Linked DNA regions of Oryctolagus cuniculus. The protein of the gene in region 1 binds, or shares a complex with, the protein of each later gene. Links are inferred from orthologs where the notes say so. Each region holds a gene or a part of one and is shown on either strand. Other genes may lie near its edges. The genes, in order: TOX4 and WDR82.

The links.
Region 2: TOX4 (region 1) and WDR82 share a complex: the UniProt entries of both Homo sapiens proteins name them as parts of the PNUTS-PP1 phosphatase complex. The link is inferred for Oryctolagus cuniculus from reciprocal best matches to the Homo sapiens genes TOX4 and WDR82.

What each region holds. Positions count from the first base shown.
Region 1 is NC_091443.1:53,460,031-53,464,615, forward strand, and holds the start of TOX4 (TOX high mobility group box family member 4), read right to left. Parts: upstream 3,002-4,585; 5' UTR 2,876-3,001; coding exon 2,870-2,875; intron 2,664-2,869; coding exon 2,595-2,663; intron 1-2,594. Other genes in the region: RAB2B (ras-related protein Rab-2B), read left to right, coding at 3,279-3,324, 3,566-3,637. UniProt on the Homo sapiens protein: Transcription factor that modulates cell fate reprogramming from the somatic state to the pluripotent and neuronal fate. In liver, controls the expression of hormone-regulated gluconeogenic genes such as G6PC1 and PCK1.
Region 2 is NC_091441.1:97,455,531-97,459,339, forward strand, and holds part of WDR82 (WD repeat-containing protein 82), read left to right. Parts: intron 1-3,475; coding exon 3,476-3,575; intron 3,576-3,809. UniProt on the Homo sapiens protein: Regulatory component of the SET1/COMPASS complex implicated in the tethering of this complex to transcriptional start sites of active genes.

The DNA.
Region 1 (4,585 bases):
TAAATAAATAAATCTTAAAAACAAAAACAAAACAAAACAAAACACCTGGGTACAACAAAAACCACACACTAATTAAAGGTTAAAAACCAAACAACACTGCCAAAGATGGGAAGGGAAAGTGTAAAGTTATAAAGAGAAAAAGCAGAACTGTTAACAATGATAGAAAGCCTATGGTAAGTTAGCTAAGTTAGCTAAATTGAGACTAAAACTTAGCTATAAGCTTCTTAAGAAGAAAAAAACACTTAATTTCTTTTTTAAAAAAGATTATTTATTTGAAAGTCAGAGTTACACAGAGAGAGGAGAGGAGAGGCAGAGGCAGAGAGAGAGAGAGGTCTTCCATCCGATGGTTCACTCCCCAGATGGCCGCAACGGGCGGAGCTCTACCAATCTGAAGCCAGGATCCAGGAGCTTCTTCCAGGTCTCCCACATGGGTGCAGGGGCCCAAGGACTTGGGCCATCTTTTACTGCTTTCCCAGGCCACAGCAGCCGGGACTAGAACTGGCACCCATATGGGATGCTGGCGCTGCAGGTCAGGGTGTTAACCCGCTGTGCCAAAGTGCCAGCCCCAAAACACTTGGACATGGCTCCATCCTGTAAAGTTTCTTGATAGGGACCAATGCTGTGGCGTAGCAGGTAAAGCTGAAGCCTGCAGTGCCAGCATCTCATATGGGTACCCAGTTTGAGTTCCAGTGCTCTGCTTCCAATCCAGCTCCCTGCTCTTGTGCCTAGGAAGGCAGTGGAAAATGGCCCAAGTGCTTGGGCCCCTGTACCCACGTGGGAGACCTGGAAGAAGCTCTTGGCTCCTGGCTCTGGCTTGGCCCAGCCCTGGCCATTGCAGCCATTTGGGGAGTGAACCAGCAAATAGAAGACTTCTGTCTCTCCTTTTCTCTCTAACTCTGCCTTTCAAATAAATAAATAAATCTTTAAAAAAAAAAAAAAAAGTCATCTTTAGGAAGTTACCTCCTGCTTGCTCAACTTCATAAAAGGATTAAAGGATAAAGCACAATCAATACATTTAACACCCTGGCCTGAGGCACAGGCATCCCATATGGGTGCCGGTTCTAGTCCCAGCTGCTCTTCTTCCAATCCAGCTCTCTGCTATGGCCTGGGGAAGCAGTAGAAGATGGCCCAAGTCCTTGGGCTCCTCCACCCGTGTGGGAGACCCAGAAGTTCTTGGCTCCTGGCTTCAGATCGGTGCATCTCTGGCCATTGCGGCCATCTGGGGAATGAACCATTGGATGGAAGACCTGTCTCTGTGCCTCTCCTCTCTCTGTAACTCTGACTTTCAAATAAAGATAAATAAATCTTTAAAAAAGAAAAAACTATTTGTATTTAATTTTACCATCTGCTTTCTCATGAATGAAGCTAATGTGACCTTTACAACAAATTTAAACTGTGGAGACCTGATTGAGAAGAGATTGGCAATAATACACTCATATAGTTGAGGCTAATGTGAGATTTACAAGACTCCAAATAATGAAATTAAACCAAGGAGACCCTCATTTATGGGAAACTTGTACCAAAACTTTAAAGGCACCAGATAGTACTCTGTCATTCTTATATCTATTGCACATTTGATTTACATGTCCCCCTGGCATAGTAAAAATAGTAACAAAGAAATTAAAGAGTCAGCAACTGTCTCTGGCCAATCTAATTTTTATCCATGAAAATATCAGGATTTATTATAGGATAAAGTCATTTAACAACTGAGAATTCTTAGTAGCAAAAAAAAAAAAAAAGTCTACACCACTTTTGAAAAAAAAATTAAAAAATTAAGAACTTCAAAAGATGGTAGAAGGTTTGCTTCATAGTTCCCCCTCAAAGTCTGGGAAGTTTTTTTTCGTTCTCGCCCCCGACCCTTTTTTTTTTTTGGTCTGGCCTAAGCAACTGATACATATCTACAGTATGGCAATATTTCAACCCAAACGTTTTCACCAACCCTTTAGGACCTCACCAGAAGCATTACTTTTACTTTACAACATCATAAGAAACTATTATTACAGCTATGGGACAGCTGAGGAAACTGTGACATACCCAGGTGAAGTAATGCACAATGTCCTCAGGGGCGCGCGCGCGTGCACGCACAAGTTCTCTAGCAAAGCAAGCTGATACCTTGTTGGTAAAAGTAACTAACTTTTTATCACAGTAGAAAAGTTAAATAACAAAAACGCCACCGCACCCTTCAGCACAGCTCGTGAACACAGGCCCCTGGCTAAGTCCCTGCTAGGTGAGCTTCTCCCCTCACCCGACTTCGTTAGCTGCTGAAAATTCTGCTTCCCATTGTGATCCCCCAGGATCGTCGTGGGTATTTCTCCCACAAAAAGGAGACAGCCCCCCCCCATCTCCCCACCCGGACTCACTCTCCTCCTTAAGCCGGTTCTCGCTTTCCAGCGCCCTGGTTTTCTGGTGACAGCAGCTTCCCCAGGACTTCCCCGGGCAGTCCTGATAGGCTCTAGAAGCAGCTGCCACTTCCCCCCGAACACCAACCGCGCCCCCCGGGTCCCAGCCGGGGTCTCCCAGCGTCCGCACGCCCTTCCCCACCGCCCCACCGCCGCAGGCCCACCCCTCCCGCAGCGTCGGCGGCTCTTGCTCACCTCGGCGCCTGACAGGAAGGGGTGCGAGGGTCCTGTGATCGTCAGGTAATTGTCATTTCCTCCGGGAAACTGGAAACCAAAAGAAAGCCGCGGTGATAAGTTAGGGGGAGCACGGACTTCGCTTGGAGCCCCGGATTCCGATCCCGACATTCTGACAGCACTCCCCAATCCCGGCTGTCTCTCCTCTCCCGTCAGCCGCCTCTCCCTTCCCGCCTCTGCTGCAACCCGATCGGCGGCGCTCTCTCGCCAAGCCTTCTTAGCGCCCGGGCTCCTACCTCCATCTTCACACCACTTTTCTACCACCGTCTCAGACCCCTCATTGCTCCCACCGCCCCCACTGGCCTCGGAACTGCCGTCACTTCCGCAAGGAAGTGCGTCGCTCTCCGCTGACTGGAAGGAGCGTCGTGGGGCTGCGAGTCAGGCGCCGAGCAGATGGAAAAGGTAGATATCGCCCCCTGGAGCGTGGTGGGATAATGGCATGTAGAGGTGCTAGAGGCGTCCCTGGAGGCGGCGTTGACTGCATCGGTCCGGCTGTGGATTTCTGGGGAGAGCAGTAGAGACGTGATCTGGCTAGAGGGGCCGGAGAGGGAAAAACAAGGAGATCGCTAGACTGAGTGGCTAGAGAGGTCGGAGGCAAGTGGATGTAGAAGTCGGGCGGACCCGGAATCCGGAGGAATCGGGACCATGACTTATGCTTATCTCTTCAAGTACATCATCATCGGGGACACAGGTAATCCGCGAGCGGGCCGCCTTCGAAGGCTGAGGCGGGCACCCGAAGCTCCCAAATCGGGCCGCGGGGGCGGGGCTCGCTCAGTGGGTTGGGCGATTCGCGAGGAACGGGCGGGGGCGGGGCGGGGCGGCCGGGGGCGGGGCTCGGGCTCGGGGCGCCCCTTCCCGCGTCCCTGACGCCCGGACTCCGGGAGGTGTTTCTGGGCCGCGGGGCTCCTGGCACGCACGTCCTCCCCTTTCAGGTGTGGGGAAGTCATGTCTCCTCCTGCAGTTTACAGACAAGCGGTTCCAGCCAGTCCACGACCTCACAATAGGTAAGTGCAGCTGTTTGTTCCAGAACCGATCATAAAGCCTTGGCTCGCTGAACTGCCCAGGTGGAAAGCTCAGCTGTCTTCCGTGTCCTCAAGTCAAAAGTTGCCTCTCACCGCTTAAAACTAGTGCGAAGTTAGGTTCAGTGAAGAGTGGTGTAAAGAGGAATAAATAATTGTGAAGGGAAGTCCAGAGATGTGCGAGGTACGGACCGATTCCCATAGGGTGTAAATGTTTATGGGAAATCCAGCGGAAGCCGAGCAGCGTTATTCAAAAGCGCATCTCAGATTTGCGATATATGAGTGCCAGCCTCATACTGTGTGTTTCAGAGTCAACACCAGTACTTGGATTGTGTGTGTGTGTGTGTGTGTGTGGTGGAGAGGACCAAGCGAAGCGAAGAGCCATCCCAGCCTAACAATTAAAAGGCAGATGATGGGCGTTGTTGCGCAGTGGGCTAAGCCGCCACCTGTGACGCTGGCTTCCCATAGGGGCAATGGTTTACGTCCCAGCTGCTTTACTTCCGATCCAGCTCCCTGCTAATGGGCCTGGGAAAGCCCCGCAGGATGGCCCATGTACTTATGCCCCTGCCACTTTCTCTGGAGACCCGGACGGGGTTCTAGGCTCCTGGTTCAGCCTGGCCCAGCTTTGGCTGTTAATGCCATTTTGGGAGTGAACCAGTGGATGGGCGATCACTCTCTAAAAAGAAATAAAAGGCAGTTTGTGGCAAGTTATGGTCTGAAGGCACTTTAACAGACCCTTCCTTCTGATTTACATAACCCTCACCCAAATAAAATATATAGTAAATAATATACATAGTAACATATATAATATGTATAAGCTACATACAGTATATATATATATGTGTGTGTGTGTGTGTAGTTGCCACACAAATGCAGTTTTTTTAAGGTTTATTTATTTGAAAGGCAGAGTTAGAGAGAGGAAGAGACAAAGAA
Region 2 (3,809 bases), on another chromosome or scaffold:
TATTGGGGAGGCCATTGAATCTCAATAGGAAATTCATTCATGGTTCATATTTATCTGAAGGACATAGGCCTGATTACTTTTAGCATACCTGTGTTTTAGTTGTGATCCATCACATAACGTCAAGTGTGGAATTTTTCTTTGTTTCTTTTTTTTAAAGATTATTTATTTGAAATGCAGAGTTTACAGAGGGGCTGGGAGAGGGAGAAGGAGAGAGAGAAAAAGAGAGAGGAAGAACCATCCACAGGTTCACTTCCTCAAGGGCCACAGTGGTCGGAGCCAGGATCTGGAGCCAGGAGCCAGGAGATTCTTCGGGGTCTCCCACATGGTGCAGGGGCCCAAGCACTTGGGCCATCTTCTGCTTTCCCAGGTCATTAGCAGGGAGCTGGATTGGAAATGGAGCAGCCAAGACTCAAACTGGCGCCCTTTTGGGATGCCGGCACCGCAAACTTCGGCTTAATGCTTTAACTCCCTGAGCCACAGTGCTGGCCCCAGCTGCTCCACTTCTAATCTAGCTCCCCGCTAATGTGCCTGGGAAAAGTAGCAGAAGAGGGTCCAAAGCTTGGTTCCCTGTACCCACACGGGAGACCAGATGAAACTCCTGGCTCTTGGCTTCAGTCTGGCCCAGCCCCGGTTGTTAAATCCGTTTGGAGAGTAACTGCAAATAGAAAATTAATCTCTCTCTCCCTTTCTCTGTAACTTTGCCTTTCAAATAAATAAATAAATCTTTTTAAAAAAAGAAGAAATTCACATCTTCAGATCTAACTCCTACCCAGACTTACTGGATTAGAAGCTCTAAGAATGGATCTCATCATCCTAGCTCGACCTTGCCTTCAGGTGATGCTAATGCCACATTAGCGTCTTGGCCACAGTGTTCATGTGATGAACATTGATGGAGTCCACAAACATCTTGTTAAGGAATCTTGTTCTGATTGAGAAATATTCAATACCATAAACTGTCCCTGTTGAGAGGTATATCCTTGGCTGGTGCTGTGGCATAGCAGGTTAAGCTGCCACCTGTAGCACAGGCATCCCATATGGGCTTCTGTTCAAATCCTGGCTGCTCTACTTCCAATCCAGTTCCCTGCTAATCTGCCTGGGAAAGCAGCGGAGGATGGCCCAAGTCCTTGGGCCCCTGCATCCACATGGGAGACCTGTTTGAATCTCCTGCTTCCTGGCTTCAGCCTGGCCCATCTGCAGCCTTTGCAGACATTTGTGGAGTGAACCAGCGGATGGAAGATCTGTCTCTCCATTGCTCTTTGTTAATTCTGCCTTTTGTGTAAATATTTATAAAATGAATTAAAAAAAAAAAAAAAGACATATGGGGGCTGGTGCTCTGGTGTAGCAGGTAAAGCCGCCACCTGCAGTGCCCACATCCCATATGGGCACCGGTTCAAGTCCTGGCTTCTCCACTTCTGATCCAGCTCCTTTCTATGGCCTGGGAAAGCAGTGGAAGATGGCCCAAGTCCTTGGGCCCCTGCACCCGTGTGGGAGACTTGGATACAGCTCCTGGCTCCTGGCTTCAGATTGGCGCAGCTCCAGCTGTTGTGGCCAGTTGGGGAGTGAACCAGCAGATGCAAGACCTCTCTCTCTCTTTCTCTCTCTCTCTGCCTCTCCTTCTCTCTCTGTATAACTCTCTGACTTTCAAGTAAATAAATAAATCTTTTTTTTTTTTTTTTTTTTTTTTTTTTTTTTTTTGACAGAGTGGATAGTGAGAAAGAGAGAGACAGAGAGAAAGGTCTTCCTTTTGCCATTGGTTCACCCTCCAATGGCCACCATGGCTGGCGCGCTGCGGCCGGCACACTGCACTGATCCGATGGCAGGAGCCAGGTGCTTCTCCTGGTCTCCCATGGGGTGCAGGGCCCAAACACTTGGGCCATCCTCCACTGCACTCCTGGGCCACAGCAAAGAGCTGGCCTGGAAGAGGGGCAACCGGGACAGAATCCGGCGCCGCTAGGTGGAGGATTAGCCTATTGAGCCGCGGCGCCGGCCAAATAAATAAATCTTTAAAAAAAAAAAAAAGATATATAGGTCAGTGGTTTTTAGTAAATTCACAGAATTCTGGAGCTGTCAGCACTATGTAATTCCAGAAAGTTTTCATTACCCGAAAGAGTAACCTTGTGTCCATTAGTCACTCCCCAAGTCCTTGGCAAACACTAACCTACTTTCTGTCTCTAAAAATTTGCCTATTGGGGCTGATGCTGTGGAATAGCGGGTAAAGCTGCTACCTGCAGTACTGGTATCCCATATGGTCGCCTATCAAGTCCCAGCTGTTCCACTTCCCATCCAGGTCTCTGCTATGGCCTGGGAAAGCAGTGGAAATGGCCCAGGTTCTCAGGCCCCTGCACCCGCGTTGGAGACTCGAAAGAGGCTTCTGGCTCCTGGCTTCAGAACGGCGTAGCTGCAGCTGTTGTAGCCATCAGAAATGAACCAGTGGATGGAGGACCTCTCTCTCTATTTCTCTCTATACCTCTGCCTCTAACCGCCTTTCAAATAAATAAATCTTTGAAAAAAGGAAAAAGATTTGACTATTCTAGACATTCTCTGTAAATGGAATCATACTAAGGCCTTTCGTGTCTGACTTTTATTTAGCATGTTCCCAAAATTACTCTTTATTGACTCATGACTCAGCACTTCATTCCTTTTTATTGTCAAGTAATATTCCACTGCATTGTATGGCGAGAGATATATGTGGGTGATGGTGGTAAAGCTTATTTATTTATTTATCTGAAAGGCAGAGTGATGGAGAAAGATCTTCCATTTGCTGATTTCATCCCTAACTGGCTGCAGCAGCCATGCCTGGGCCGGGTCAAAGCCAGGAGCCAGAAACTTCATCTGGGTCTCCCTCATGGGTGGCAAGGGCCCAAGTACTTCAGTCATCTTCCACTGCCTTCCCACATGTATAATAGCAGGAAGCTGGATTGGAGGTGGAGCAAGTGGAGCAACTGGGACTCAAACTAGCACTCCGATATTGGAGGCGGCTATCCCTAGCAGTGGATTAACTCAGTGAACCGTAACACCAGCCCCTGTAGGGTATATTTTCTTTATGTGTTAGTTAATAGACATTTGAGATTTTGTTTACTCTGACTATTGTGAATGATAGTATGATTATTGGTATATGTTTTTGCATGAACATTTTTAGTTCTCTTGAGTATATACCTAGAAGTGAAATTTCTGGGTCATAATAACTGTTTTTGGAAAAATGTTTTCTAGAGCAATTGTGCCATTTTACATTTCCATCAGAAATGTATGAGAGTTCCCGTTTCTCCACTATCTTTTTTTTTTTTTATATATTTATACTAAGGCTTTAAGTTGCTTTTTTCATTATACTAGTTGTCTTTGATTATCCCAGATATGCTTGTGTATGTGTATTTCTTAACATGGCAGTTTGGGACAACAGGTATATATAGGTAGGTGGAGTGGTTTAGAGTTCACATCCAGTTTTGCCTCAACTCCTATTTATCTTGATACTTTGCAGGGTGGTGGCCTTGTCTATGTCACCTGTGGATGACACTTTCATTTCTGGGTCTCTTGATAAGACCATTCGACTCTGGGATCTCCGGTCTCCTAACTGCCAGGTAATGGTACCTTACAGATAAAATTTTTGGGCATTTTCTTTAGTAGTCAGTATTATCTCTCCCTCTTAAAGGAGAAAGCAGTGGTTTTATTCTGGGATCCCAGAGTCTTCTTAAATATGGGAGAAAACCTGTTTTCCTGGTAGGTAGATGGTAAGCATACACCATAATATAGTTCAAATCGCATTGTACAGTGCGGCTTAGTGGTTTTTTTTTTTTTTTTTTTTTTTTTTTTTT